Linked DNA regions of Anolis sagrei. The main gene of each other region encodes a partner of the protein of the gene in region 2 in a complex. Links are inferred from orthologs where the notes say so. Each region holds a gene or a part of one and is shown on either strand. Other genes may lie near its edges.

Evidence for each region.
Region 1: the proteins of PPP2R5C (region 2) and CRYBG1 are in contact, whole or in part, in a crystal structure (PDB 6VRO), measured with the Homo sapiens proteins. The link is inferred for Anolis sagrei from reciprocal best matches to the Homo sapiens genes PPP2R5C and CRYBG1. Residues at the interface, in NP_002710.2 of Homo sapiens: Lys183, Thr184, His187, Tyr190, Gly191, Leu194, Arg197, Ala198, Arg201, Glu226, Ile227, Ser230, Ile231, Asn233, Gly234, Phe235, Ala236, Lys240, Glu242, His243, Pro265, Gln266, Tyr269; in NP_001358171.1 of Homo sapiens: Pro1136, Phe1138, Ala1139, Met1140, Pro1141, Pro1142, Ile1143, His1144, Glu1145, Asp1146, His1147, Glu1149.
Region 3: the proteins of PPP2R5C (region 2) and PPME1 are in contact, whole or in part, in a cryo-EM structure (PDB 7SOY), measured with the Homo sapiens proteins. The link is inferred for Anolis sagrei from reciprocal best matches to the Homo sapiens genes PPP2R5C and PPME1. Residues at the interface, in NP_002710.2 of Homo sapiens: Asp180, His187, Arg188, Tyr190, Gly191, Leu194, Arg197, Ser230, Ile231, Gly234, Phe235, Ala236, Lys240, His243, Asp313, Gln341, Tyr348, Glu353, Tyr354, Glu399; in NP_057231.1 of Homo sapiens: Arg37, Lys38, Arg39, Asn192, Lys217, Val251, Glu252, Gly253, Ile254, Ile255, Glu256, Glu257, Pro345, Gln346.

The regions. Positions count from the first base shown.
Region 1 is NC_090021.1:95,484,583-95,494,791, forward strand, and holds the start of CRYBG1 (beta/gamma crystallin domain-containing protein 1), read right to left. Parts: upstream 3,968-10,209; 5' UTR 3,873-3,967; coding exon 3,547-3,872; intron 1-3,546. UniProt on the Homo sapiens protein: May function as suppressor of malignant melanoma. It may exert its effects through interactions with the cytoskeleton.
Region 2 is NC_090021.1:323,540,634-323,550,827, reverse strand, and holds the start of PPP2R5C (serine/threonine-protein phosphatase 2A 56 kDa regulatory subunit gamma isoform), read right to left. Parts: upstream 3,945-10,194; 5' UTR 3,687-3,944; coding exon 3,654-3,686; intron 1-3,653.
Region 3 is NC_090023.1:5,508,703-5,519,282, reverse strand, and holds the start of PPME1 (protein phosphatase methylesterase 1), read left to right. Parts: upstream 1-5,750; 5' UTR 5,751-5,793; coding exon 5,794-5,894; intron 5,895-9,560; coding exon 9,561-9,655; intron 9,656-10,580. Other genes in the region: C2CD3 (C2 domain-containing protein 3), read right to left, coding at 343-612, 5,065-5,140. UniProt on the Homo sapiens protein: Demethylates proteins that have been reversibly carboxymethylated. Demethylates PPP2CB (in vitro) and PPP2CA. Binding to PPP2CA displaces the manganese ion and inactivates the enzyme.

The DNA.
Region 1 (10,209 bases), about 230 Mb from region 2:
ATTGTGGGAGTTGAAGTCCACCACACCTGGAGGGCCGAAGGTTCCCGACCCCTGCCCTAAAAGCACCCAATCCCTTCTGATCTTGGAAGCTAAGCAGGGTCAAGCCTTGGTTGACAGTTGGATGGGAGATGCCCAATGAATATCATTTGCTATAGGCTAGATTTCAGCAGAAGAAACTTGCAAAAAAACGTGAGTAAAACTTGCCTATGGAAATCCAATGGAATTCATGCAGTGGCCATCAGTAAACTAGGACACCATTGGCACTGACCACAAAACCGCCAAAAGAAATCCCTTCTTGCACATCAGTGTTCTCTGGTTTGTGTTAATCCCCATCCAGGCCTCAAATTGGTTTTAGGATTTCCTATATAATAATCTGCACAGGGAAACCACTTTCTGCAATACCAATTTGACACAGCATTACATGGTCAGTGCAGATGTGGGCTAGGAGTGTCTCTACACTGTAGAATGAATATAATTTGACTCCACTTGAACTGCCATGGCTCAGTGCAATGGAATCCTAGTTATGGTAGTTCCACAACGTCTTTAACCTTCAATTTTTTTTCATCATGTCAGAAATGACTTTGAAAAACTACAAGTCGCTTCTAGTGTGAGAAAATTGGCCATCTGCAGAGACGTTGCCCAAGGGATGCCCAAATGTATTACCATCCTGTGGGAGACGTCTTACATGTCCCCGCATGAAAAGCTGGGGCTGAGAGATGGGAGCTCACCCAGTCTCATGAATTCGAACCTCTGACCTTCTGGTCAGCAGTTCAGCCAGCACAAGGGTTTAAGCCATTGTGCACTGTGAGCTCATTTGACCTTCACTGTTAAAGAGGGCTGGTGTTTCACAAAGCTGCAACTCCTATGATTACAAAGCACTGGGCCATGGCAGTTAAAGGGGTGTCTAACTACTTTGATTCTACAAAGTGAATTAGTGTTGCCAAAGGCTTTCATGGCCAGAATCACTGGGTTGCTGTTGAGTTTTCTGGGCTGTATGGCCATGATCCAGAAGCATTCTCTCCTAATTAGCATTATACCCTAAGTCAGGGGTCCCCAAACTAAGCCCTGGGGCCAGATACAGCTCTCTAAGGTCATTTACCCAGCCCTCGCTCAGGGTCAACCAAAGTCTGAAATGATTTGAAAGCACACGACAACAACAACAACAACAACAATTGTATCTCATCAGTCAAAAGCAGGCCCACACTTCCCATTGAAATACTTGTTATTTGTTAAAATTGTTCTTCATTTTAATTATTGTATTGTTTTAAGTGTTTTTTTGCACTGCAAATAAGGTATCTGTAGTGTGCATAGGAATTCATTCATGTTTTTTTTTTAATTATAATCTGGCCCTCCAACAGTTTGAGGGATTGTGACCTGACCCTCTGTTTAAAAAAGTTTGAGGACCCCTGCCCTAAGTAGTCCCAGCCTAAGAAAATCCAGTGAAATTCCTGTGGTGGCCATTAGGCGACTAGTAGGCAGCAGCATCACTGCTGAAAACACAACTGAAACATCATTGTACCTTTTCCCTTCCTAAAATACAGGCAGTCTCCAAGTTACAAACCTCTGACTTATAAATGACTCACAGTTAAGAATGGGGATGAGACAACAGGAAGTGAGAGAACTCTCACCTTCAGAAGGGAATTTTTCTCCTGCTACCTCATCACACTAGAGAATGAATCCTCTATAAATCCGGTTGCTGCCTCCTGCAGAATTCTGTGGTTTGTAGTTTAGGGAGAAGGCTTTAACAGCCTCACTAAACTACAAACCCCAGAATTCTGCAGGAGTCAAAAACCAAAACGCCCTTCCTAGAGACATTAGATCGGCCCTCTCTCTTTTAGCATTCTGGAGGAAAGTCAAGACCTGCCTGTTTGAGAAAGTGTTTGAAAAGGCAGTGTAACAGACATAGGAATAAGGAACGATTGGATGATGAGACTGGACCTTGATTTTAACTTGGAGATGTTCACGATCTATGTTTTATTGACTTCGTTATGATTGTATATTTATGTTAATGTTTTAAATGTTTTATGATGTTGCTGGGCATTGAATTTTGCCTCTGTAAACCGCCTTGTGTCGCCCGTGGGCTGAGAAAGGCGGTATACAAATTTAACAAATAAATAAATAGTGTGCTGAAGTGGCTGCTGGAAGAGTTATCATAGGCAAAAGGTATTTCCACTGAAGCTGTATCACCAACCCTTATTGCACAACAAGCCCATTTTTTTAAAATGCAATGATCACAGGGACAGAAAGTGAGGCGAAATCCTCTGAAGAGGGGCATAGGGACCAACACAAACTCCACAGGGGTGTGTCCACCCTTCTCTATGCTATCCATAGTTCAGGCCCATAGCCAGGATTTTGATTGGGGGGGGGGGGGCTGAGTTTGATTCGGGGGGGCTAAGTTTGATTCTGGGGGGGGGGTGAGGATCTACCCTAGCAAACCTTTTGTATCATTGTCCCAATACCCCCATGCATATGGGATATATTGAAAATGGTGATCAGATCATGATATGAACAAACATAACAATTTAAATAATGTACCAGTAACGCCTTCTTGCAAACCACCCTGAGAATTTCAGGGAGGGGGCTGAAGCCCCTCAAGCCCCCCACCCCACCCGGCTACTGGCTTGCCATAGATAAATAGAAAGATAGACAGGGCCATAGCCAGAAAAAAAATTCAGGAGAGGTTGAAATTTTCGGGGGGGGGGGGGGGTTGAAACCTGCCTCCTAGCTCACGCTGAAGCAAAGAGCACAGCAGGGGGCAGAGCAACCTTCAATAGCCTGCAGCTCCGCCCCTGTCAACCACCTCCACCAAGTCTGGCCTCCTTAATGAGAGCATTCAACACACACACCCCCAACTTGGTTGCTTCACTACACTGGCTATTGCTGCAAGTAATAACAGTGTGAATAAATTGTCAATATTTGCCTGAGATAGTGCTTGCAGTTCTGGAGGGACTCATAGACTTAGCATGGGGATTTGGTTAACCAGTTAAAATTTACTGAAACATTTCGGGGGGGGGGGGGGGTTGAACCCCTAACACCCCACCCCCCCTCGCTACAGGCCTGAAGATAGATAAGATAGTTAAAACCTACCTGACAAATGAATTCAACTTCAGAACAAACCTATTGAAAAAGAAATCTTCTCTTGTTCGTAAGGTAGGGCTTGCCTGTATATCTTGAGGTATAGCTTTTCTGTCTAAAATTAGAAACAAGCACCACCCCGTTCTGGACGAGGGTTTCTGAATGTAGGAAAGGAGATGTCACCTAAGGAAGAGCAGTTGGACAGCGGAATATGATGATGCCTTGGAAGGGCGGCTATAGAGCAGGGCTGGGCCAACTTGGGCCCTCCAGGGGTTTTGGACTTCAACTCCCAAGCATTCCTAACAGCCTCAGGCCCTTTCCTTTCCCCTCTAAGCCGCATAAGCGGCTGAGGGGGAAAAGGAAGGGGCCTGAGGCTGTTAGGAATGCTGGGCGTTGAAGTCCAAAACTCCTGGAGGGAGGGCCCAAGTTGGCCCGGGCCTGGCGTAGAATGAATATGCTGGACCTTCATACCTGTTGGTGGGTGTGCTGGGTTCCGAGGCGCTGAACGGGGGGTGCGGCGAGTAGGAGGGCGAGGCGGGCACGCTGCCCCCGCCGACCCGGTGGTCCTCGCCCGGCTCCTTGCTCTCCTTCCTCCGGAGGCGCCACGGGCCGAACCCCGAGCGCTTCTTCCGCGCCCCCGGGGAGCTGGCCTGGCTGCTGGCGCTGAGGCGATGCTCCCGTCGCGGCTCCGGCGCCGGGGAAGGGCACGGAGACGGCAGCGAGTCCGCTTCGGAGTCCTCCGACTCGCTCCGGTGCCGGAAGAGCCTCCCCAAGCGGCGCAAACCCGCTTTCTCCATGGTGGGACCCCCGGCGAGAGGGACGGAGGAGGCGACGCTGCTGCTCCGGGGGCGGCTTCGTCCCTCGCGCGCGTGAGGCGACGGTTACAGAGAGGGAGGGGGGGGGACTCAGGAGCGCCCAGGTGTTCTGTGGCGCGCGCGAAACCCCGCCCCTCCCTCCGCCCTCGCCCCGCCCCGCCCTCCGCTTCTTGCGCAACGTCCACTGCCAGGGATTCCCTCTTCCCCCGCCCACTGAGGCTCACCTCAAGTGCATCCCTGCACTCTAGAAGAGGCATGGGCAAACTTCGGCCCTCCAGGTGTTTTGGACTTCAATTCCCACTCTTAAATTAAATCCCACCATTCTCCCAGCACCAGGCATATAGGGGGGGGGGCTTGTGGGGCTTCAGCCCCCCCCCCCCCGAAATTTTCAGGGTGGTCCACGAGAAGGCCTTACTGGTACATTATTTAAACTGTTATGTGTATTCATATCATGATCTGATTACCATGCTCAATATATCCCATATGCATGGGGGTATTGGGACAATAATACAAAAGGTTTGCTAGGGTAGATCCTCACCCCCCCAACCAAAGTCACCCCCCCACAATCAAACTCAGCCCCCCACCCCATCCCCGAATCAAAATACTGGCTACGGACCTGCCCAGCACATATATGAGATTGAGAGCCCTCAGTGGCACAGCGGGTTAAACCGCTGAGCTGCTGAACTCGCTGAACAAAAGATCAGTGGTTTGAATCCGGGAAGCAGGGTGAGCTCCTGTTATTAGCCTCAGCTTATGACAACCTAGCAGTTCAAAAGCATGCAAATGTGAGTATGTAGATCAATAGATACAGCTCTAGCAGTAAGGTAAAAGCGCTTCATTGCAGTCATGCCAGCCACATGACCTGGAGGCATCTACGGACAACACCGGCTCTTCGGCTTAGAAATGGAGATGAGAGCCCCCCCCCCCCCCACTTCTTAAAAAATTGATCCAACTTCACTGGACATATACAATAAACTATAGTTATTTATTTATTTACTACATTTATATGCCACCCTTCGCACCTTGAAGGGGACTCAGAGCAGCTTACAAGTAATATGTGAATACAATATATTATATTATTACCGTAGCACAATATTAGCATTAGCTATTACTATATTGTACTATACCATTATATTGTAATATTATGTTATTATTATTATTTACTATATTTATAGCCTGCCTTCCACAGCCATACGGCAACTCAAGGCGGGTTACAGACTGGCACAATTCAATGTCAGGCGTTCATAAAAGTGCCATTAAAAACAATCAACATTACAATATAAAACATAAATAAAAACAGTTAAAGCATATAATCATCAGTGTCATCTTGTTAAAAACATTATCCAGTAACATCGCCTGGCCATTCCATGTTCATCATTCATAGTTCCGTGTTATCTATTCCGCTGCATTCTCAAAAGCTTGCTCAAAGAGCCAGGTCTTTACTTTTTCCGGAAAGTCAGGAGGAAGGGGGGCAATCTAATATCCCTGGGGAGGGGGTTCCATAATATTATTAGTACTATTACATGTAATATAAAATATATAATTAGAATACTATATTAGTGTTATTAGTATTATATTGTATTACATTACACATTATCCCAGGATTCGAACCAACAACCTGTCAGTCTCCAGTTCTGCTGGCACAAGGGTAGGTTCGAATCCAGGGAAAGCACGGATGAGCTCCCTCTGTCAGCTCCAGTTCCCTGTGCGGGGACATGAGAGAAAGATGGCAAAACATCAAAATATCTGGGCATCTCCTGGGCAACTTCCTTGCAGACGGCCAATTCTCTCACAACAGAAGTGACTTGAAGTTTCTCAAGTCACTCCTGACACAAAAAAAACACCTACCTCCTAGAGTACGATACAACAAAACTTAATGTCGGGGGAAGACATTTACCTTTACCTATGAGATAATATTAAAAATAACAACAGTAACAACTTTATTCTTATACCTCACCACCATCTTCCTGAAAGGGCTCAGGGTGGCTTCCAGACGGCACAAAGTGCCTAAAAATATACATAAAACTGAACACAATATAAAACACAATAAAATAAAACACATGCACATACAAATACATCAATCCAGACTCAATAAAGCTGCGGTCCTCTAACTGTGACGGGAAATTACTGGCACCATGGCCGGGCTGTAAACATTAAAATAAAATAAGTGCCACTGCAGTAATTGAGAGAAGGCATGAGATAAAGTGCAGGATGTGCTACTACTAGGTAGGACAACTAGGGGCTAAATATTCTCAAAGGCTTGATTGAAAAGCCATGTCTTCAAGTCCCTACAAAAGGAGGACAGTGTGAGGGCCTGTCTAATCTCCCTGGGGAGGGAGTTCCAAAGCCGGGGAGCCACCACTGAAAAGGCCCTCTCCCTCATCCCCAACAACTGCGCTTGAGATGGTGGTGGGACTGTGAGGATGGCCTCCCCGGCAGATCTTAGAGGCCATATCAGTTCATAGTGGAGGATGTGATCATGAATATAGACAGTACTCGAGTAGTTTAGGGCTGTATAAGTTATAACTGGCACTTTGAATTGGGACCAGAAATTTATTGGCAGACAATGGAGTTGCTTTAGTAGGGGCATCATGTGCTCTCTATAGCTTGTTCCAGTTAGTAGCCTGGCTGCAGATCTTTGGACAAATTGCAGTTTTTGAGCTGTCTTCAAAGGCAGCCCCACATAGAGTGCATTACGGATGCTATGTACATTTCAGAAGTAAACCATTTATCCCCCCCCCCTCCCTTGCACACACATGTGAGATCATTCTCTGAGCTTGGGCTCTAGATTGCAGCAAAACAATTTAAATGCCGACAGCAAATACTTTAAAAATTGATCCAGAACTTTCAAGACATCAGTAAAGATTGTCTTTTCCATTGTAATAAGGTAGCTCTTCAATTGCTCTTAATAGCTGTCCATCTGATCTGGTCAGTTTGTCTTGAAGATGAACTGGGATGATCAAGTGTCATTGACAACTCCCCTCTTAACTGAGGGAACTGAGTACATTATACATATCTGAGGACAGAATTTTACCCACAGAAAAATAGCAATTGAAAGGATCAGTTCTGCCTGCTTAACCATCAATGCAGGGCTGTTCACGTTAACATGTGCTGGAATGCTTTTTTCAGACTGGTTTCAAATGACTCAAGCGGTTTCTGCCACTTGCCCTCAGTTTCCCTTGTTGCAAATATCTGAGGAAAACAGTTCTCAGCAAAGGGACTTCTGTCGGGGGTGCTTTGCGATTTTCCTGCTTCTTGGCAGGGGGTCGGACTGGATGGCCCACGCAGTCTCTTCCAACTCTATGATTCTATTACTTCTTTTCACAGAGAAAAGTTAGATTTTGTTAGATTGTGCTGAGCTTTCTCTCTCCCCCCCCCCCCCCCCCCCCGTATCATTATATCTCCTAATGATACAACTGCTAAACTACAAATGCCAGTTTTGGTTTGACATTTGGTTTGCCTTGTCTTACATTCCAATCAGCTGTTGGAATGTAAGACATAATTGAAGAGGCATCTCTTCCAGCAGACCTACCCAGTCAGTTCTAAGTTGTGAATTTTAATCTGGATTTTATCAGGCTGTCCCTTGTGTCTGGTGACGGGAGTTTGGGAAAGTGTTGCCCTATAGATCTCAAGGTTCTGGTAGGGTAGTATAGGGAGATACAGCCTCTCAGATACTAGGTTGTTGTAGGTTTTTCGGGCTGTATGGCCATGTTCTAGAAGTATTCTCTCCTGACGGTTCGCCTGCATCTATGTCAGGCATCCTCGGAGGTTGTGAGGTCTGTTGGAAACTAGGAAAATGAGGTTTATATATCTGTGGAAAGTCCAGGGTGGGAGAAATAACTCTTGTCTGTTGGAACTAGGTGTGAATGTTTCAATTGGCCACTTGATTAGCATTTGATGGTCTGACAATTTTTAGGTGTGCCCTGTTACTACCTGGGGGAATTCTTTGTTGAGAGATGATTAGCTGTTCCTGATTGTTTCTTCTCTGGCGTTCCCCAGGGTTTGAGTTTTGTTTTTTTATTTACTGTTATAATTTTAGATTTTTTAAAAATACCGGTAGCCAGATTTTGTTCATTTTCATTGCTTCTTCCTTTCTGTTGAAATTGTCTACATGCTTGTGGATTTCAATGGTTTCTCTGTGTAATCTGACATGGTGGTTGTTGGAGTGGTCCAGCATTTCTGTGTTCTCAAATAATATGCTGTGTCCAGGCTGGTTCATCAGGTGCTCTACTATGACTGACTTCTCTGGTTGAAGTAGCGCCCAAACACCAATTAAGGAACATGAAAGGCATTGCAGACAACTTCTGAGGATGCAGGCAAAACGTCAGGAGAGAATACTTCTAGAACATGGCCATACAGCCTGAAAAACCTACAACAACCCAGTGACTTTGGCCATTACGGCCTTCAACAATGCATTCAGCACAGATAGTTTGAACCTAAATCATATAGGACTTTATAGGTCATGACCAGCACATTTAATTATGCCCAGAATTGAACAAATAGTTATTTTAACAATGAAATCACATGGTTCCTATAACTGGCCCTAGTCAGCATTCTGGCTGCAGCATTCTGGCCCCACTGTGTTTTAAAACCATTTCCTAAGGCAGTACTACATTGTATGAGTTATAGTAGTCCAAATAGGAAGTAAACAAGGTATATGTCAGTGCAGCCAGATCTGACATCTCAAGGAACAGGTGCAACTGGTACACTAGTTTAGCTGTGCAAATGCACTCCTAGCCACTGCTGAAACCTAAGCATTCAGGCTCAGAGTTGAGTCCAGGAGAATATCCAAGCTGCGAGCTGAAGATTTCAGGAGGCGTATAACCCTATCTAGTACAGGCAAAATCCTTATTCCCTGATCTGCCTTCTGATTATCCAGGAGCACCTCTGTTTTGTCTAGATTAGGTTTCAGTTTGTTTGCCCTCGTGCAGTCCTTTCCACTTACTATCCATAATTGACTGCCAAAGGGCTAAAATGAAATAAATATGTGCTGGGTTGCAACATGGATATCTTTAAAATGTCATATTGCAGGGGCATCTTTATAATCTTCCAGGTGTGGTTACTAGCTACTGTGCCTTCATTCAAATATAAAACCTAGTACTGCCTCTAGACATTTAGCATTCCAAAATAGGCTGGTTAACTGTCTGTTAATTTAATCCATATATTTTGCTTACATTATTGTATGCATATGTTTTTTTCCAAACATAAAACTAGTACACCCTCAGAGGGAGAAATCTAAAAAACTGGGGAAAACTGAAATACCATACAAAGGAATTTGGCTCAAGAAAGTAATCATAACTATTCTTTTCCTCTTAATTTTCCAAATGTATATTATATGTATGAATACATTTGTGGCACAAGGTCTTATATCTTTGTGAGTTACATAATTTGAATGTTTGTCATGAAACCCATTTCACAATGTCAGTAACACTATACATTTAAATGCTGGCAGCTGTAACAACCACTGGAACTATTTCAGTTGCTCCATTCCTGGTGCTGCGAAATATCTAGCAAGCATAGCTGTGATTCTGTAATTGATTGGAGGGGTTGATATATTCCCCTAAGCAAGGCCGTAGCCAGAAAACCTTTTTGGGTGGGGTTGAAAATTTGGGGGTGGTGGTGTTGAAACTTGCCTCCTAGCTCACGCTGAAGCAAGGAGCACAGCAGGGGGCAGAGCAGCCTTCAGTAGCCTGCATCTCTGCCCCTGTCAACCACCTCCACCAAGTCTGGCCTCCTTAATGAGAGCACCCTCCCCCCAAACTTGGTTGCTTCGCTACATTGGCTATTGCTGCAAGTAATGACAGTGTGAATAAATTGTCAATATTTGCTTGAGATAGTGCTTGCAGTTCTGGAGGGACTCATAGACTTAGCATGGAGATTTGGTTAACCAGTTAAAATTCATGAGTAAACCAGGTTTTTTAATCTGAAAAAATTGGCTACAGGCCTGCCCTAAGACCTGAAAGAACATAGCTGAAGGGCATGGAGTCATATGAAGTAATATCACTGCCATGTGCTGCAGCTTACAACTCCATTCCCACTGCTACTACAGTGAAGAGGTTTCCCTGCCAAATGCACAACTGACCGGAATGATTTTACCACCCCCTCTTTGCAAGGAAGTTAAAATCCAATACATTGATGGAAAGGCTTTGTTGCATACATCATTGTGCATCTAAATTTCCTTCCCCCATTCCCCCGTCCCTCCCTTAACAGCTTTTCACTCTGGCTGATGCCAGAGCAAGGGATGGTATGTTGTGGCTGGAGATCACCACATTGTGAAAGCTGGGGGAGGGGGGAGGTTGTTATGGTGGCCGCCCAGAAG
Region 2 (10,194 bases):
CCCACAATTCTATAGCATTGAGCCAGGGCAGTCAGTGGTGTCAAACCACATTTATTCGACATCGTAGATGCACCCCATGCCTTTGAATTGTATGGTAAATATTGTCTGCGCCAAGAACTCTTAACATTTGATGCCTTTGCTCACTTGGCTTGTCCTTTCTCTTCAGATCCTTAAACGGTGCTCAACTGAAGTTTTAAGTTACTGAAGTTTCCCGCAAAAAGAGGCATGTCAGGAAATTTTCATCTTTATTTCAGTATCTAAGGTACTAACTTTGTTTCCCTTTTTCTTCAGGCCCCAAAACTGTGCTTCTGTAATGTTGGACTGAAGTTTTAAGTGACTGAAATGCCAAATAAATAAATATTGAGCATTTCAGAAACTGAAGAGAATTGCATCTTAATTCTTGGGAGTCTTCAAAGTGCTAACTTTGCCTACCCTTTTGCTTCACACCTCTCAACTATGCTTCTAAAATGCTCAACTGACATTTCAAGTTGCTAAAGTACCAAAAAAGTGGTCACTTAAGTAACTGAAGGGAAATTTCAACTTTAAAAAAGTTAGGTGGGGGTAACTTAGATTCAATAAAGTTAGCAAGTATTTCCTCTGATAATTTTGCCTGCTCTTTCTCTTCAGACCCCTAAAGTGTAATTCTAAAATGCTTACGTTACTCAAATACCAAAAAATGGTCACTTGAGTAACTGAAAGGAAATCTCAACTTTAACATAGTTAGGTTAGGTAGGGTAACTTAACTTCAATGGAGTTGTGGGATAACTTAACTTCAATGGAATGATCAAGTATTTCCCTTGATACCTTTGCCCACCCTTTCTCTTCAGACCCCTAAAGTGTAATTCAAAAATGTTTAAGTTACTTGAGTAATTGAAGGGAAATCTCAACTTTAACAAAGTTAGGTGGTGTAACTTAACTTCAATGGGGTTGTGGGATAACTTAACTTCAATGGAATTATAACTGAAGTTAATAAAATAAAAATTATCAAGTATTTCCCTTGATACCTTTGCCCACCCTTTCTCTTCAGACCCCTAAAGTGTAATTCTAAAATTTTTAAGTTACTCAAGTATCCAGAAAACCAGTCACTTGGATAACTGAAGGGAAATCTCAACTTTAACATAGTTAGGTGGGGTAACTTAACTTCAATGGAGTTGCGGGACAACATAACTTCAATGGAGTTATTAAGTATTTCCCTTGATACTTTCACCTGCCCTTTTCTCTTTAGACCCCTAAAGTGCAATTCTAAAATTTTTAAGTTACTTGAGTAACTGAAGGGAAATCTCAACTTTAACATAGTTAGGTAGGGTAACTTCAATGGAATTATCAAGTATTTCCCTTGATACCTTTGCCTGCCCTTTCTCTAAAGTTTAATTCTAAAATGTTTAAGTTACTCAAGTACCTAAATAAATAAATAAATAAATAAATAAAAATTGGTCACTCGATTAACTGAAGGGAAATCTCAACTTTAACATAGTTAGGTGGAATAACTTAACTTCAATGGAATTATCAAGTATTTCCCTTGATACCTTTGCCCGCCCTTTCTCTTCAGACCTCTAAAGTTTAATTCTAAAATGTTTAAGTTACTCAAGTACCTAAATAAATAAATAAATATTGGTCAATTGACTAACTGAAGGGAAATCTCAACTTTAATATTCTTAGGTGGGGTAATTTAACTTCAATGAAGTTGTAGGACAACTTAACTTCAATGGAATTATCAAATATTTCCCTTGATACCTTTGCCCGCCCTTTCTCTTCAGACCTCTAAAGTTTAATTCTAAAATGTTTAAGTTACTCAAGTACCTAAATAAATAAATAAATATTAATCACTTGACTAACTGAAGGGAAATCTCAACTTTAACATAGTTAGGTTGGGTAACTTAACTTCAATGGAGTTGTGGGATAACTTAACTTCAATGGAGTGATGAAGTATTTCCCTTGATACCTTTGCCCGCCCTTTCTCTTCAGACCTCTAAAATATTTAACTCTAAAATATTTAAGTTATTCAAATAAATAAATAAATAAATATAAATTGGTCACTTGACTAACTGAAGGGAAATCTCAACTTTAACATAGTTAGGTGGGGTAACTTAACTTCAATGGAATTATCAAATATTTCCCTTGATACCGCTGCCTGCCCTTTCTCTTCAGATCCCTAAAGTTTAACTCTAAAATGTTTAAGTTACTCAAATACCTAAATAAATAAATAAATATTAATCACTTGACTAACTGAAGGGAAATCTCAACTTTAACATAGTTTGGTGGGGTAATTTACTTCAATGGAATTATCAAGTATTTCCCTTGATACCTTTGCCTGGTCTTTCTCTAAAGTTTAATTCTAAAATGTTTAAGTTATTCAAATACCTAAATAAATAAATAAAAATTGGTCACTTGAGTAACTGAAGGTAAATCTCAACTTTAACATAGTTAGGTGGGGTAACTTAACTTCAATGAAGTTGTGGGACAAATTAACGTCAATGGAATTATCAAATATTTCCCTTGATACCTTTGCCCGCCCTTTCTCTTCAGACCCCTAAAGTTAGGTAGGGTAACTTAATTTCAATGGAGTTGTGGGATAACGTAACTTCAATGGAATTATCAAATATTTCCCTTGATACCTTTGCCCGCCCTTTCTCTTCAGACCCCTAAAGTTAGGTAGGGTAACTTAATTTCAATGGAGTTGTGGGATAACGTAACTTCAATGGAATTATCAAATATTTCCCTTGATACCTTTGCCCGCCCTTTCTCTTCAGACCCCTAAAGTTTAATTCTAAAATGTTTACTCAAGTACCTAAATAAATAAATATTAATCACTTGGCTAACTGAAGGGAAATCTCAACTTTAACATAGTTAGGTGGAGTAACTTAACTTCAATGAAGTTGTGGACAACTTAACTTCAATGGAATTGTCAAATATTTCCCTTGATACCTTTGCCCGCCCTTTCTCTAAAGTTTAATTCTAAAATGTTTAAGTTACTCAAGCACCTAAAGAAATTTTTAAAAAATTGGTTAAATAAATAAATATTGGTCACTTGATTAACTGAAGGGACATCTCAACTTTAACATAGTTAGGTGGAGTAATTTAACTTCAATGAAGTTGTGGACAACTTAACTTCAATGGAATTGTCAAATATTTCCCTTGATACCTTTGCCTGCCCTTTCTCTCCATGAAGTGACGTCAATAAGTTACTAAAGTATGGGTAAAAATAGAGTGGTTTCAGTAATTGAAGGAAAAAATCTCGTCTCTGTTCTGTCAGTGAAGTCTCCAAGGTGCTCCCAAAACCACCTTCAGTGGGAGAGGGAAAAAAAGAGCAAATTTGGGGATTTTCCCCTTCACAAGTTCAATTCTGAAACCAAACACTTTCTTTTTGCCACAGAAGCAGTCTCAAGAGCAGGCATGGGTCAACTTGGGCCCTCCAGGTGTTTTGGACTTCAACTCCCACAATTCCTAACAGCCTCAGGCCCCTTCCTTTTCCCCCTCAGCCGCTTAAGCGGCTGAGGGGGAAAAGGAAGGGGCCTGAGGCTGTTAGGAATTGTGGGAGTTGAAGTCCAAAACACCTGGAGGGCCCAAGTTGGCCCATGCCTGCTGAAGAGGCCTCCCTCCCGCCCCTTCCTCCTCCTCCTCCTCCAAGCCCTCCTCCCCGCCTCAGGCCTGACCTGGCTCTTCTCCTTCTTGGTTTTATTCGGCATGGCCGACTGCTTGGGTGTCTGCTGGGGGCCCGCCAGGCCTCCCTCAGAGTTGGTGGTGTGTGTGGCGGCCCCGTTGCCTCACTCCTTCTGAGTCCTCCTCCTCCTCTTCCTCCTCCTCCACCGGCCGGCCAGCCAGCCGGCCTCCCTCCCTTCCCTCCTGCCTTCCCTCCTTCCTTCTCCGGCTCCCAGGAGCGACTGAGGAGGAGGAGGAAGCGGCCTCCGCCTCCGTCCGCAGCCCTCTCTCCGCTTCGAAAGAAAGAAGGCGCCGCCCGATTGGTTGCCGCGGGTCACGTGGAGGCCAACGTTCTTCTCCCTCAGGTCCTCCTGCTCCACCCCGCCTTCGCCCAACCCCAATAGACTTCAACTCCCAGACGCCTCCGCCGGCTTGGCCCACGGTGAGGGATTCTGGGAGTTGGAGTTCAAAACACCAGGGTGCTTGTTGAGAGCCTCCCTTGTGGTATGGTGGTAGGGGAAGGCGTGCAAGCTTGACGCCACGTTACCTGCCAAGGCTCAGGGCCCTTCCACGCAGCCATATAACCCGCAATATCAAGGCAGAAACGTGGAGTTTCAGAAAAAGCATCTATTTCTGTTTTATTGACTAAAGCCTTGGACTGTGTGGATCATAATAAATTGTGACAAGTTCTTGGTGATATGGGCATACCAATGCACCTCTTCTCTCTCCTGAGGAATCTGTATAAGGACCAAGTAGCCACATAGAATCATAGAGTTGGAAGAGACCTCATGGGCCATCCAGTCCAACCCCCTGTCAAGAAGCAGGGATATTGCATTCAAAGCACCCCTGGCAGATGGCCATCTAGCCTCTGTTTAAAAACCTCCAAAGAAGGAGCCTCCACCACACTCCGGGGCAGAGAGTTCCACTGCTGAACAGCTCTCACAGTTAGGAAGTTCCTCATGTTCAGATGGAATCTCCTTTCTTGTAGTTTGAAGCCATTGTTGAACTGACCATGGAACAACGGACTGGTTCAAGATTGGGAAAGGCGTACGGCAGGGTTGTATCCTCTCACCCAACCTATTCAACTTGTATGCAGAACACATCATGCGATGTGTGGGGTTTGACGAATGAAAGGCTGGGGTAAAAATGGCAATCACAACCTCAGATATGCAGATGACACCACTGATGGCCGAAAGCGAGGAGGAGCTGAGGAGCCTTCTAATCAAGGTGAACGAAGAAAGCGCAAAAGCTGGGTTGCAGCTAAATGTAAAAAAACCCCAAGATTATGGCAACTAGAATGACTGACAACTGGAAAATAGAGGGAGAAAATGTGGAGGCCGTGACAGACTTTGTATTTCTAGGAGCAAAGATTACTGTAAATGCAGACTGTGGCCAGGAAATCAGAAGACGCTTACTTCTTGGGAGGAGAGCAATGTCCAGTCTCGATAAAATAGTAAAGAGTAGAGACATCAGACTGGCAACAAAGATCCGCCTAGTCAAAGCCATGGTATTCCCTGTAGTCACCTACGGATGTGAGAGCTGGACCTTAGGGAAGGCTGAGCGAAGGAAGATTGATGCTTTTGAGCTGTGGTGTTGGAGGAAAGTGCTGAGAGTGCCTTGGACTGCGAGAAGATCCAACCAGTCCATCCTCCAGGAAATAAAGCCCGACTGCTCACTGGAGGGAAGGAGATTAGAGACAAAGTTGAAGTACTTTGGCCACATCATGAGGAGACAGCAAAGCCTGGAGAAGACAATGATGCTGGGGAAAGTGGAAGGCAAAAGGAAGAGGGGCCGACCAAGGGCAAGATGGATGGATGGCATCTTTGAAGTGACTGGACTGAAACTGAAGGAGCTGGGGGTGGTGACGGCCGACAGGGAGCTCTGGCGTGGGCTGGTCCATGAGGTCACAAAGAGTCGGAGACGACTGAACGAATAAACAACAAATCTGAGTCCACACTGCCATATATTCCAGTTCAAAGCACCACAATTCAAGAGAGATATTGACAAGCTGGAATGTGTCCAGAGGAGGACGACTAAAATGATCTGGTCTGGAGAACAAGCCCTATGAGGAGTGGTTTAAGGAGCTGGGTATGTTTAGCCTGAAGAAGAGAAGGCTGAGAGGAGATATGATAGCCATGTATAAATATGTGAGAGGAAGCCACAGGGAGGAGGGAGCAAGCTTGTTTTCTGCTTCCCTGGAGACTAGGACGCGGAACAATGGCTTCAAACTACAAGAGAGGAGATTCCATCTGAACATGAGGAAGAACTTCCTGACTGTGAGAGCCATTCAGCAGTGGAACTCTCTGCCCCAGAGTGTGGTGGAGGCTCCTTCTTTGGAAGCTTTTAAACAGAGGCTGGATGGCCATCTGTCAGGGGTGGTTTGAATGCAATATTCCTGCTTCTTGGCAGGGGGTTGGACTGGATGGCCCGTGAGGTCTCTTCCAACTCTTTGATTCTATGATTCTATGAAACTGAGATTTTACTTGGAAGGGGTCTCAGAATATCAAGGCAAAAAATCCCACAATATCTGCTTTGAACTGGGTTATCTGAGTCCACATTGCTATATATGTTGTTGTTGTTCATTCGTTCAGTCGTCTCCGACTCTTCGTGACCTCATGGACCAGCCCACGCCAGAGCTCCCTGTCGGCCGTCACCACCCCCAGCTCCCTCAAGGATTGCTATATATATTCCAGTTCAAAGCAGATAATCTGAGATTTTACTTGGAAGGGGCTTCAATATCAAGACAAAATAATCCCACAATATCTGCTTTGAACGGGGTTATCTGAGTCCTGTTGTTTTTTATTTGTTCAGTCACTTCCAACTCTTCGTGACCTCATGGACCAGCCCGCACCAGAGCTCCCTGTTGGTCATCACCACCCCCAGCTCCTTCAGGGTCAATCCAGTCACTTAAAGGATGCCATCCATCCATCTTGACCTTGATCGCCCCCCCCCCTTCCTTTTTTCTTCTATTTTCCCCAGGATCATTGTCTTCTCTAAGCTTTCCTGTCTTCTCATGATGTGGCCAAGGTACTTCATCTTTGTCTCTAATATCCTTCCCTCCAGTGAGCAGCCGGGCATTATTTCCTAGAGTATGGACTGGATGGATTTTCTTGCAGTCCAAGGCACTCTCAGAACTTTCCTCCAATGCCACCATTCAAAAGAGTCTATCTTCCTTCGCTCAGCCTTCCCTATGGTCCAGCTCTCACATCCGTAGGTGACTATGGGGAATACCATTGCTCTAACTCTGCAGATCTTCATTGCCAGTGCGATGTCTCTACTCTTCACTATTTTATCAAGATTGGACATTGCTCTCCTCCCAAGAAGGAAACAGCTTCTGATTTCCTGGCTGCAGTCTGCGTCTGCAGGAATCTTGCACCTAGAAATACAAAGTCTGTCACGGCCTCCATGTTCTCTCCCTCTATTTGTTATCAATCAGTCTGGTTGCCATGATCTTGGGGTTTTTTTATGTTTAACTGCAGCCCAGCTTTTGCGCTTTCTTCTTTCACCTTGGTTGAAGGCTCCTCAGCTCCTCCTCACTTTTGACAGCCATGGCTAAATGCTATGGAATGTTGGGGTTTGTAGTTTAGGATGGCCCCAGTAGTCTTTGGCAGAGAAGGCTAAAAGGCCTTGCAAAACTACAACTCCCATGATTTCATATCAATAGTCATAGCAGTTCATCTCCAGCCCATCCCCTTTTTGGATATCCGCCAGCACGCCAATGCCTTAAATCAAGAAATAGTTTTCTAAGATCTACAGAGATACTCACAGGAACATTTCAGCAAGCAAGAGTCCAAACGTGGCAGGCTAAAATCCAGAACCTCAAGCCATGGCTGATACCGAATGAGAGACTCTCTCCTGGGCACACAGAAGACTGAGTGACTTGGAAGACGTTGAACAGACTGCGCTCTGGCACCACGAGATGCAGAGCCAACTTTAAGAAATGGGGCCACAAAGTGGAGTCCATGACATGCAAGTGTGGAGAAGAGCAAACCACAGACCACCTATTAAAACGAAGTCTGAGCCCTGCTACATGCACAGCGGAGGACCTTCTTACAGCAACACCAGAGGTACTCCAGGTGGCCAGCTACTGGTCAAAGACATTTAGTATAATGCCAAGTTTTTAAAACTTTGTGTTTTTAAATACATTTCAACTGTACCTCGGTTCACAAACGTTGGCCCTCCAGGTGTTTTGGACTTCAACTCCACAATTCCTAACAACCCACCGGCTGTTAGAAATTATGGAAGTTGAAGTCCAAAAAACCTGGAGGGCCCAAGTTTGTCCATGCCTGGTCTACACTGCCATATAAACCAGTTCAATGCAATTAATCTGCACTCTGAAACTGAATTCAGTGGCTGCGTAGAAGGGGCCTTAATCTCAAGGGAAGGCAAGGGCAAATTCCCTCTGAAAAAATCTTGCCAAGAAAAAACCCATGATAGATTAACCTTCGGGGTAAGAAACGACTTGAAGGCACATAACAACAGTTAGGATTTGATTAATTTTTAAATTATTTATTTTTAGTCATTACCTCGCTTGAAGGCCTACTTTGAGGCAAAAATATGACCTATAATTTTGTTTTAGTGAATAGTGAATTTATTCCTTTGCATGGCCCTACACTCTGAAACAGACAAAAAGAATATTTCAGAAAAGACTGAAAATATCTTAGCTGTATGTTCGGTATCCATTCTTTCATTTCAGGCTGGATTTACACTGCCATTTAATACAGTTTGGAACTGAATTGTATGGTTAATGCAGACCATATAATGCAGTTCAATGTAGTTTACCTTGTATGTATGTATGTATGAGTCTACACTGACCATATATGGTAGTGTATTTGGGGCCTATGATTAGCTTCCAAGGTCAGACAAGATCTGGTGCCTTTAAGGTATTTAGCTTACACCAAAGTTAAAAAATAAATAAAACTAAAAATCTATTGAAGCAAAAGTGTGTTTTTTAAACCCCAAATCTCCAATGCAGATTTCAATATTTATTTATTTATTATTTCACATTTTGCCTTGCACAGAATCAAATGGAGATTACAATAATCTATTTTAACTATTTTGTTTATTTAAAAATCTACAGAGACTTTTATTGTCAAAATAATTAAAAATGCTGTCCAGGTTGGCAGTCAAGGCAAAAAGAACCTGGAAAAAGGAAGGCTACTATATCTATGGGTCTTAAGTTGTAACGTGGGCCCCACCTACACTGCCATATAATGCAGTTCCATAATAATAATAATACATCATTTATACCTCATCACCATGTACTGAAGGGATGGGGCAGCTAACAAAGCACTCAAAGATGCAAACACACAAAATACAAAAAATGCAGAAACAATAACTGTATTATATGGCAGTGTAGGCTCATAAAATGCCGTTCATTATATGCGTCTACACATTGACTGTTGCATCCCAGTTCAAGAAACGAGACCATAAGATTAAATCCACCACACTGGACTGTAGGAAAAGCAATCCTTGTTTATTGATGAACAATTGGTTACAAAAGAAAGGTAAATGCAAAGTCAAAAAGCCACAGAAAAACACAGCAGTCAGTAGAATCTCTGAACTTGAGCAAAATTTCAAAAGCCGCAATACAAGAACCAGGAACCTGTTAGTCTTTTACTAACCATGAACTTAATAAATACAAGCCTCTGGGATTACCGGCCATGAAACACAGGAATTCTGCCAAGGTGCAGCCACAGTCCCAAACGTTGCTTGATCTAAAGAGGCACCCGGCAGGAGGCCTCTTAAACCAAAGAAGCTATTCTTTGAAATGCCCCTTGACTTTGAAGCCTGGGCCTATCTCTCCTGTAAACGAAGTGACCTTCGTAGAAACTGGGAAACATTTCTCTCTCTAACTATCTGTTCTCTTCGGTCCTCATTAAAAACCCCAGGTGGAGAGATATCACGGCTAGTTTCCAAAACATTTTCCTCCAGCTGTTGAGTTTCATTTTCATCACCATTGACCTCTGTATCAACAACAGATTCCACACTGTCAGGGTCAGGGAGAGCTTGCTTAGTTGGAAAAACTATCAGAGAATCCGGTTCACACAGATCAGGATCAGGCTGAACCCCAACATTGACTATACATGCAGTTTCAAACTGCATTAAATGACAGTGTAAACGGGGCCCTATTTAGCAGAAAATGCGAGATGTACTTGACACCTAGCACTGTAAATGACTTCATCACTTTAAAAGATATATCTATATGCAATTGTGCCTTCTTTTGCAGAAGAGACAATTGCTCATTAATTTTCCACTGGACCAACCTTTTAATTTTGCTGGTGTTATGTACTTTTTGTTGGAAATAGCAACTTTCTACAAGCCTCCTATACTAGTTATGTTGCACCTCAGAATAGAACCACCTTGCTTAAGACCCCAAAGAACACACCAGCAGTTGTCTTTGTCGTTTTTTTAAATAGAAGATAAAAAGTTCAAAAAGCAAAAGTGTTTTTCAAAAGATCAATCCAAGGTAACATAGGCAAACAAGATCCATGAAGACACAGGCAAGGCAAAGTCCCTTAAGTGCATGACAAAGTCCTAAAACATGAACATGAA
Region 3 (10,580 bases), on a different chromosome or scaffold from region 2:
AGATGCAAGCGAAACGTCAGGAGAAATGCCTCTAGAACATGGCTCTATAGCCCGAAAAAACCCACAAGAACCTAAAAGTCCTTTGTCTCACCCTGGTTATTCCACAGATATATAAACCCATTTTTTCTACTTCCAACAGACCTCACTACCTCTGAAGATGCTTGCCATAGATGCAGGCGAAACGTCAGGAGAAAAATTGCCTCCAGAACATGGCCATATAGCCTGGAAAAACCTACAACAACCCAGCAATTCCTGTCCGTTCTAGTTTTTGCTTTAAGAGTGAATTCCAATCCTAAAGCAAAAAAAATTTAGATACTTAAGCATCAAGGATCCAATCAGTACCTGTCAGGTAGGCGGTAAACTGTTTTGGTCCACACCGAACTGGGTAGCGAGTGGTAGTCTTCAGTGTCTTTTGCTCTGCTTGCGAGGGGTCACGGGGAGTGAAAACAGTGCCATCTGAGGTCTCTCCCCACCACCGCACCCGGATCAGGAAGGAAGATGGTGGCTTGGAAACCATCCATAGGATCTTGCTAACGGTCAGCTTCAGAAAGCAGCGTAGCTGTCCTTCCACGAGAGGCGGCAAGCTTGTCGAAGGGGTAATGTCACTGAGATCTGCGAAAAAGCATTAGAACACAGTTATTTAGACAATGTGAATGATTCATAGGAGCATAGTGCATCAATAGGAGCATAGTATCTAGAGATCTAGGGAAGTCGTGCTCCCCATGCTCTATTCTGCTTTGTTTAGACCACACCTGGAATATTGTGTCCAATTCTGGGCACCACAATTCAAGAGAGATATTGACAAGCTGGAATGTGTCCAGAGGAGGGCGACTAAAATGATCCAGGGTCTGGAGAACAGGCCCTATGAGGAGTGGCTTAAGGATCTGGGCCTGTTTAGACTGAAGAAGAGAAGGCTGAGAGGAGATATGATAGCCATGTATAAATATGTGAGAGGAAGCCACAGGGAGGAGGGAGCAAGCTTCCTTTCTGCTTCCTTGGAGACTAGGACACGGAACAATGGCTTCAAACTACAAGAGAGGAGATTCCATCTAAACATGAGGAAGAACTTCCTGACTGTGAGAGCCGTTCAGCAGTGGAACTCTCTGCCCCGGAGTGTGGTGGAGGCTCCTTCTTTGGAAGCTTTGAAACAGAGGCTGGATGACCATCTGTCAGGGGTGATTTGAATGCAATAAAGCTATCGTCCTCCCAACCCTGCTCTACGCCTGCAAAATGTGGACTGTCTACAGACGTCACATGCAACTCCTGGAACGATTCCATCAGCGCTGCCTCCGGAAAATCCTGCAAATCTCTTTGGAAGACAGGCGGAGAAATGTCAGTGTGCTGGAAGAAGCAAAGACCACCAGCATTGAAGTGATGGTCTTCCACCATCAACTCCGCTGGACCGGCCATGTTGTCCGGATGCCCGACCACCGTCTCCCAAAGCAGTTGTTCTACTTCGAACTTGGAAAACGGAATGTTGGTTGACAGGAAAAGAGATTTAAAGATGGGCTCAAAGCCAACCTTAAAAACTCTGGCATAGACATCGAGAACTGGGAAGCCCTGGTCCTTGAGCGCTCCAGCTGGAGGTCAGCTGTGACCAGCAGTGCTGCACAAATCGAAGAGGTGAGAATAGAGGGCGAAAGAGAGAAATGTGTCAAGTCCTAGACAACTGGGAGGTGTCCAACATGTGATCCAATACAGCAGCCAGCAGAGTGATCTTGTTCACTGTGTACTCATCTTGTTGTGCATCAGATAACAACAGCAACAACAAAACAACAAAGGTGTTAATAAGGTAGTAATAATAATAATAATAATAAAGCTGTGGCATAGACACTGTGAACTGGGAAGCCCTGGCCCTTGAGCGCTCTAGCTGGAGGTCAGCTGTGACCAGCAGTGCTGCAGAATTTGAAGAGGCACGAATGGAGAGCGAAAGAGAGAAACGTACCAAGAGGAAGGCACATCAAGCCAACCCTGACCAGGACCGTCAATCTCAAAAACTGTGGCAATGGGAAGCCCTGGCCCTTGAGTGCTCCAGTTGGAGGTCGGCTGTGACCAGCAGTGCTGCAGAATTCAAAGAGGCACGAATGGAGGGTGAAAGAGAGAAACGTGACATTATAGAATGACACAATGACATATCCATTCTATTCCACGCAGGCTATGGGGTGCATCTACACTGCGGGCTTAACGCGGTTTGATACCGCTTTAACGAAAGCGTCTACCTGAGGGTGGGTGACCGGGACAGTATAGGGATTCTAGTAGTGTACCGTCCACCTCGCTGCACTACAGTCTCCCTACCTGAGCTAGCGGGGGTGGTCTCGAGCCTGGCATTGAAGTCTCAACGGCTTCTTGTGCTGGGAGACTTCAACGTCCATGCCGAGACGACCCTCACAGGCGCGGCTCAGGACTTCATGTCTGCCATGGCAACCATGGGGCTGTCCCAACAAATATCTGGCCCCACCCACTGTGCTGGACACACATTGGATTTGGTTTTCTGTCAGGGATGGGAACAGGGTGGCGGTGTGGAGGAGTTGTCCATCTCTCCGTTGCCATGGACCGACCACTTCCTGATCAGATTTAGGCTCACTGCGCCCCCTAACCTCTGCAAAGGTGGAGGACCCATTAAGATGGTCCGCCCCAGGAGGCTTATGGATCCGAATGGCTTCCTGACGGCTCTTGGGGATTTTCCCGCCACCTCGGTAGGTGACCATGTCGAAGCCTTGGTCGCTCTCTGGAATGGGGAGATGACCAGGGCTATTGACATGATCGCTCCGGAACGTCCCCTCTCAAGTAGCCGAGCTAAACCAGCCCCTTGGTTTACTGAGGAGCTGGCAGCTATGAAGCGAAGGAAGAGGGAACTAGAGAGCGTGTGGCGTTCGGAACCGAGCGAGTCAAACCGAGCACGGTTTGTGTCCTTTCTTAGGGCATATGCCGCGGCAATAAAGACCGCAAAGAAAACTTTCTTTGCGGCCACTATTGCGTCTGCAAAGAACCGTCCGGCGGACCTGTTTCGGATTGTCAGAGGTCTTTTAACTCCCGCCTCTGCAGGTGGGAGCCCTGACAATTCGGTCGCGCGCTGTGAAGCATTTGCTCGGTTCTTCGCAGACAAAGTCGCCTTGATCCGTTCTGGGCTGGACGCCGCGTTAGATGCAGACTCTGTGGATGTAACGAGAGCACCTGCTTGTCCTATTTTGTTGGATTCTTTTCAGTTTGTGAAACCCGAGGATGTGGACAAGATACTTGGAGGAATGAGGCCCACCACGTCCATCCTAGACCCCTGCCCATCCTGGCTTCTGAGAGAGGCCAGAGGGGGATTGGCCGAGTGGGTAACAGTGGTGGTGAATGCCTCCCTTCGGGAAGGCAAGATTCCAGCGAGCCTAAAACAGGCTATTATAAAGCCGCTGTTGAAGAAGCCATCACTGGACCCCACTAAATTGGACAACTTTCGGCCTGTTTCCAATCTCCCCTTTTTGGGCAAAGTCATGGAAAGCGTGGTGGCCTCACAACTCCAGGTATTCTTGAGAGACACGGATTATCTGGATCCGGCACAGTCTGGTTTCAGACCGGGGCATGGTACCGAGACGGTCTTGGTCGCCTTAGTGGATGATCTGCGCCGGGAGCTAGACAGGGGGAGTGTGTCCCTGTTGGTGCTCCTGGACCTCTCAGCGGCCTTCGATACCGTCGACCACGGTATCCTTCTGGGGCGCCTTGCGGAAATGGGTCTTGGAGGCATTGCTTTGCGGTGGCTCCGGTCATTTCTGGAGGGTCGCACCCAGAAGGTGTTATTGGGGGACTCCTGTTCCGCACCACAACCTTTGACTTGTGGGGTGCCACAGGGTTCCATACTGTCCCCCATGCTGTTTAACATCTACATGAAGCCGCTGGGTGAGATCATCCGGAGTTTCGGGGTGCGGTGTCATCTGTACGCAGATGATGTCCAACTCTGTCACTCCTTCCCACCTGCTACTAAGGAGGCTGTCGAGGTCCTGAACCGGTGCCTGGCCGCTGTAACGGTCTGGATGAGGGCGAACAAACTGAAACTAAATCCAGACAAGACAGAGGTACTCCTGGTCAGTCGCAAGGCCGAACGGGATATAGGGTTACAGCCTGTGCTGGACGGGGTCGCACTCCCCTTGAAGGCGCAGGTTCGCAGCTTGGGTGTGACCCTGGACTCATCGTTGAGCCTGGATCCCCAGGTTTCAGCGGTGACCAGGGGAGCATTTGCACAGCTTAGGCTCGTGCGCCAGCTGCGCCCATATCTCGGGAAGTCTGACTTGGCCACGGTGGTACACGCTCTTGTCACATCCCGCCTGGATTACTGCAACGCTCTCTACGTGGGGCTGCCCTTGAAGATGGCCCGGAAGCTTCAGCTGGTCCAGCGTGCGGCAGCCATGTTACTAACTGGAGCGGGTAGCAGGGAGCACACAACGCCCTTGTTGTCCCAGCTTCACTGGCTGCCGATTTGCTACCGGACCCAATTCAAGGTGCTGGTCTTGGCCTACAAAGCCCTAAACGGTTCCGGCCCAAAATACCTTTCGGACCGCATCTTGGCCTACGAGCCCACGAGGACCTTGAGATCGTCTGGGGAGGCCCTTCTCTCGATCCCGCCTGCATCACAGGCACGGCTGGCGGGGACGAGGGAGAGGGCCTTCTCGGTGGTGGCCCCCCGGCTGTGGAACACTCTCCCGGCACACATCAGACAGGCGCCCTCCCTCATGTCCTTTCGAAAAAGCCTTAAGACCTGGCTGTTCGAGAGGGCATTTAATTAAGTGCTAAGCAACAACATTACGGTAATGAGAACTGGAATGGTATAAGGAAGATGAGACTGGCTATGATTCTACTAAGAGACGAAGCGGATTTTTATGTAGTTTGTAGTTTGTATTTGTTGTATAGTCATATGTTGTTGATACTGGCCTCTGTAACTGTCTTTTTATGTGTACTGTACACCGCCATGAGTCGCCCGTAAGGGCTGAGAATGGCGGTCAATAAGTGCATCTAATAAATAAATAAATAATAAATAACTGCCTTTTGCCCCATGGCGAATTGTAACTTCCCCCCGATTCTCACCCTTCCGCTTGCGCCCAGGCCGAGAGGAGAGGGACGGGGAGGAGAAGCCCTTCGCCGCCTTTTTCTTCTGCTTCATCCTTCTTCAACTACTCCCAGGAGGCTTCAACTACGACTAGGCCGCTTCGCGTTGCTTGGCAACGCAGGCCGCGGCTCGCAATGCTTCCTGGGAAACCGGCGGGAGGAAAGCCCGGCTGCGGCCATTCCCCGAACCGCGCATGCGCGAGTCTCTAAGCCGGCTCTTTCTTATCGGCCTCTCAGCCGCAGAGAACTCCATTTCCCGTGCTGCCCTGAACCGCGCATGCGTGTGTCTCTAAGCCGGCTCTTTCTTATCGGCCTCTCAGCCGCAGAGAACTCCATTTCCCGTGCTGCCCTGCGTGCACTTCCGGTCTACGTCAGAGACAGGCCGGGCGTAAAATGAAAGGAGGAGAAAGAAAGGACTCGATGTCCCGTGCTGCTCCGGGGCGGCGCTTCAAGCGAGGAGCAGCGTGCCGGGAGCGCGGGGCACGTCGGGAATTGTAGTCCCGATGCCCTTTTTCGCCGCTTCCGGTGTACGTCAGAGATAGACCCGGCGTAAAATGAAAGGAGGAAAAAGAAAGGACTCGCCATCCCGTGATGCTCCGGGGCGGGGCTTCAAAGGAGGAGCAGTGTGCCGGGAGCGCGGGGCATGCCGGGAGTTGTAGTCCCGGTGCCCTTTCTCGCCGCTTCCTGCCTTCCTGAGGGGTGGCAGCCATGTCGGCGCTGGAGAAGCAGCTGCAGTTGGGCCGCCTCCCGCCCCGAGGACCGGGCCCGGCCGGGATGGGCGCTCAAGGGGCCCCCAAGATGCGCATGGGGTGAGGCCCAAGATCTGGGTGAGGGGTGACGTCACGCGAGGGGAGGGGGCTGCGTGACGTCACGGGGAGGGAGGCAAAGGGTGACGTCATGGTGGGTTTTTTCACCTTTCAAAGGAATTCCACTACAATTACTATTATTGTTATTATTATTATGCATAAGAAGATTGATTAAGTATATGAAGATATTACTACTGGGTTTCTGTGAGTTTGATTAGCATTGCAAAGCCTTGCAGCTTCAAAGCCTGGCTGCTTCCTGCCTGGGGAAACCCTTTGTTGGGAGGTCTTAGCTGGCCCTGATTGGGTCAGGGGAATTCCAGGCAAGAAACAACCAGGGCCATTATTATTGGGTTTCTTTGAGTTTGATTAGCATTGCAAAGCCTTGCAGCTCCAAAGCCTGGCTGCTTCCTGCCTGGGGAAACCCTTTGTTGGGAAGTCTGAGCTGGCCTTGATTGGGTCATAGGAATTCCAGACAAGAAACAACCAGGGCCATTATTATTGGGTTTCTGTGAGTTTGATTAGCATTGGAAAGCCTTGCAGCTTCAAAGCCTGGCTGCTTCCTGCCTGGGGAAACCCTTTGTTGGGAGGTCTTAGCCAGCCCTAACTGGGTCATAGGAATTCCAGACAAGAATCAACCCAAGACCAACTAACAACACCCGACAAAGGATTCCCCCCCCCCCAGGCAGCAATCAGCCAGGCTTTGAAACTGCAAGGCCATTACATGCTAATCAAAGTGGCCAATTGTAACATTGACACCTACCTCAAACAGACAAGAGTTCTTTCTCCCACACTGGACCTTAATCCACAGGTATATAAAGCCCGACAAAGGATTCCCCCAGGCAGCAATCAGCCTGGCTTTGAAACTGCAAGGCCATTAAATGCTAATCGAGGTGGCCAATTGCAACATTCACACCTACCTCAAACAGACAAGAGTTCTTTTTCCCACACTGAACCTTAATCCACTTGCCTAGTTTCCAACAGACCTCAGAGGACAGGGCCTTCTCGGTGGTGGCCCCTCGACTCTGGAACTCTCTCCCGCTGGAGATCAGAACTGCCCCCTCCATTCTGTCGTTCAGAAAATGGGTGAAAACCTGGCTATGGGGTTTGGCTTTCAACGAGTGAATCAATATTTTTGTGATCGGATAGATGACGATGAATGATGGACAACGGATTCACTATGACGACTGACCATTGTTATTATGTGATTGCATTTTGCTGTTATAACGTTTTAATTGAATATGTCATAAGATGTTTTTAATGATTGTTTTGTGATTTTATTGTTGGAAACCGGCCCGAGTCCCCCGATAGAGGGGAGAAGACCGGTATACAAAATTGCTAAATAAAATAAATAAATAGATAAAATAGTTGTGGGCGAAACATCAGGAGAGAATGCTTCTGGAACATGGCTAGTCAGCTCAGAAAAATCACAATAACCCAGTGATTCCGGCCATGAAAGCCTTCGACAACACATTATTACAATTATTGTTGTTGTTATTAAATTGTGGATGCAGTTAAGTATATGAGAATATTATTATTATTATTTAATATGTAAGGTTATTATTATTATTATTATTATTATTATTATTAAGTTGGGGACGCAGTTAAGTATATGAGGATATTTATTTATTTATTTATTTGCAACATTCGTATCCCGCTCATATCAGCCCGAAGGCAACTCAGGGCGGCGTTATTATTATTATTATGATTTATTATTATTATTATTATTATTATTATTACAACATATATAAGGATGCAATTAGGTATTTGAGGATATTAAAATTATTATTAAATATATAAGGATATTATTAAGTTGGGGATGCAATTAGGTATTTGAGGATACTATTATTATTAAATATATAAGGCTAATGTTATTATTATTAAGTTGGGGGATGCAGTTAAGTATATGAGGATATTATTATTATTAAGTATATAAGGATATTATTAAGTTGGGGGTGCAATTAGGTATTTGAGGATATTATTATTATTAAATATATAAAGCTATTATTATTATTAAGTTGGGGGATGCAGTTAAGGATATGAGGATATTATTATTATTACCGGTAAATATATAAGGATATTATTATTAAGTTGGGGATGCAATTACGTATTTGAGGATATTATTATTATTACCGGTAAATATATAAGGATATTATTAAGTTGGAGATGCAGTTAAGGATATGAGGATATTCTTCTTAAGTTTGGGGATGTGCTGGTTAGATTTGCCGGGAATTACAGTCCAACAACCTTTTGTACGGACCTCATACTTTTCATTCTTTCTCCATTCGCAGCTATTTTAAGAAATATAATTGGGATATAATATAATTGGCAGGTCCTTTTTAGCTGTTGGCTGCGTGCGGATGGGGCATCCCTATAATTTGCTCTTGCTTTTGAGGTGCAGTTGTGTATTATCTATAGACTGTCCTGCTTTTCAGCTTGCGTTTCTTCAGTTGCAAGGTGCATCATTCCTTTCCTAGAAAAAGGCTCTTGAATGTAATAATAGTAATTACAATAGGCCCATTGGTATCCAGTGGGGTTGGTTTGGTTTCATCCCCAAATCCAGACCAGGAAAAGCCCTCTGAGTTTATTGAAGACAATTAAATCTGTTTATTGAAGACAATTAAAAAGCAGTAAAAGTAAAAAAGCACTTTAAAGGTATAGGTAAATCCAATTAGGTAGGAAGATAAGCCGGAACAAAATAGTCCAGGGAATTAGTCCATCAAAGTCCACACATATATACACAAATATATACACACATATACTGTCAAGGTCAGACGCCAGCCAATTAAAGAAGTATAGTTTATGGTCCATCATAGTCTTGCTCGCGAGTAGTTCTCCTGCCTTTCCTAATACAACTAGTGTTACTATCACTGCCAGCAGACTCTATCACAACATATACACCCATATATATATAAGCAAACACACATTTATACGCCCATGTATATATAAGCAAGCACACATATATACACAAATATATACATACACACACACACACATATATACACCCACATATATATATGCAAACACATATATACACACATATATACACACATATACACAATATGCATGTATACATATAAACACACAAATATATACACACATATATACACACACACACACACACATATATATATATATATATATACACCCACATATATATATGCAAACACACATATATACACAGATATATACACACAGACACATATACACACACAAAACACATATACGCAGACGGCCACAGCAGGGGATGGCTAATTTATTAATAATAATACTTTATTCATATAATAAAAATGATGATAATAATAATAATAATTTTAAAAACTGGAACGTGGGACAGAACAGAATAGGAGAAGAAGGTAAGGAGCTAGATAGCATTATCTTTACTAGAATTAATGATGCTATTGACAGTGCTTGGCAAAAAGGATTTGGCATTTCCTCTTCCAGACAAACAGACAGACGGAGGCACAGAATAATACATGCAATTAAATGGATGCCTTTCTAGGATTTTTTCTAGGTAAGCAGAAGTTTACCCTGGAATTGCCTGTAGGAGAAAGTCCCCAGTGAGGACATATTTTGTTGTGTGGGAAGATGAAACTGGGAATGCTGGTCTCACCGCTGTGAGAATGAATTGTACTGTCATTATATATAAACTATCCACGTTTCTTCTTTCAGACCTGGAAGGAAACGTGACTATTCCCCGGTCCCGTGGAGCCAGTACTTTGAATCTATGGAGGACGTGGTTGTCGAGAGCGACTCCGGCAAGGATATATCCTTTCCTCTTCTTTAATTGAATTGTCCCTTCTGATTAGATATAACGGTGAAGCTTTGAAGCAGGGGAAGGTAGCAGTCAGGGATTACAGTGTCTTTTAAAACATGTTAATCAGAATAATTTTTCTTTTTTTTTTCTTTTTGCTAATTTTATATGATTTTCTTTTTTTTCTTTTAATCGTGTTTTCTATTAACACACAAAAAGGTTTCATATAATTTAATTAATTTTATAACAATAATTAAAAATAATTTAATAATAAATAACAATAATTGAAATAGTTAATAATATTAATATAAGTTAAATTGTTGTTGTTGTTGGGTAAAGGTTTTCCCTTGACATTAAATCCAGTTGTTGTTGTTGTTGTTGTTGTTGTTGTTGTTGTTATATTTATTTATACCCCACTTTATCTCCCCAAAGGGGAGATAACTTGACATGTGACTTGACATAAAAGTATTAGTATACTTTTATGTATAATAAAGGGTAAAGGTTTTCCCCTGACATTAAGTCCAGTCATGTCTGACTCTGGGGGTTGGTGCGCATCTCTATTTCTAAGCCGAACAGCCAGCGTTGTCCATAGACACCTCCAAGGTCATGTGGTCAGCTTGACTGCATAGAGCGCCGTTGCATGTTTTCAAATTGCCAGGTTGGCAGAAGCTGGTGCTAACAGCGGGAGTTCACCCTGCTCCCCGGATTAGAACCTGCGACCTTTCGGTTAGCAAGTTCAGCAGCTCAGTGGTTTAACCCACTGCACCACCAGGGGCTCCATATATTAGTATATAATATTAATATATAGCAGGAAGCAGTGAGGCTTTGAAGCTGTAAGGCTGGCTGCAACATTCATACTTGCTTCAAGCAGACGAGTTCTTTCTCCCTCCCTGGACATTGCACAGATATATAAACCTCTCTTTCCCAGTTTCCAACAG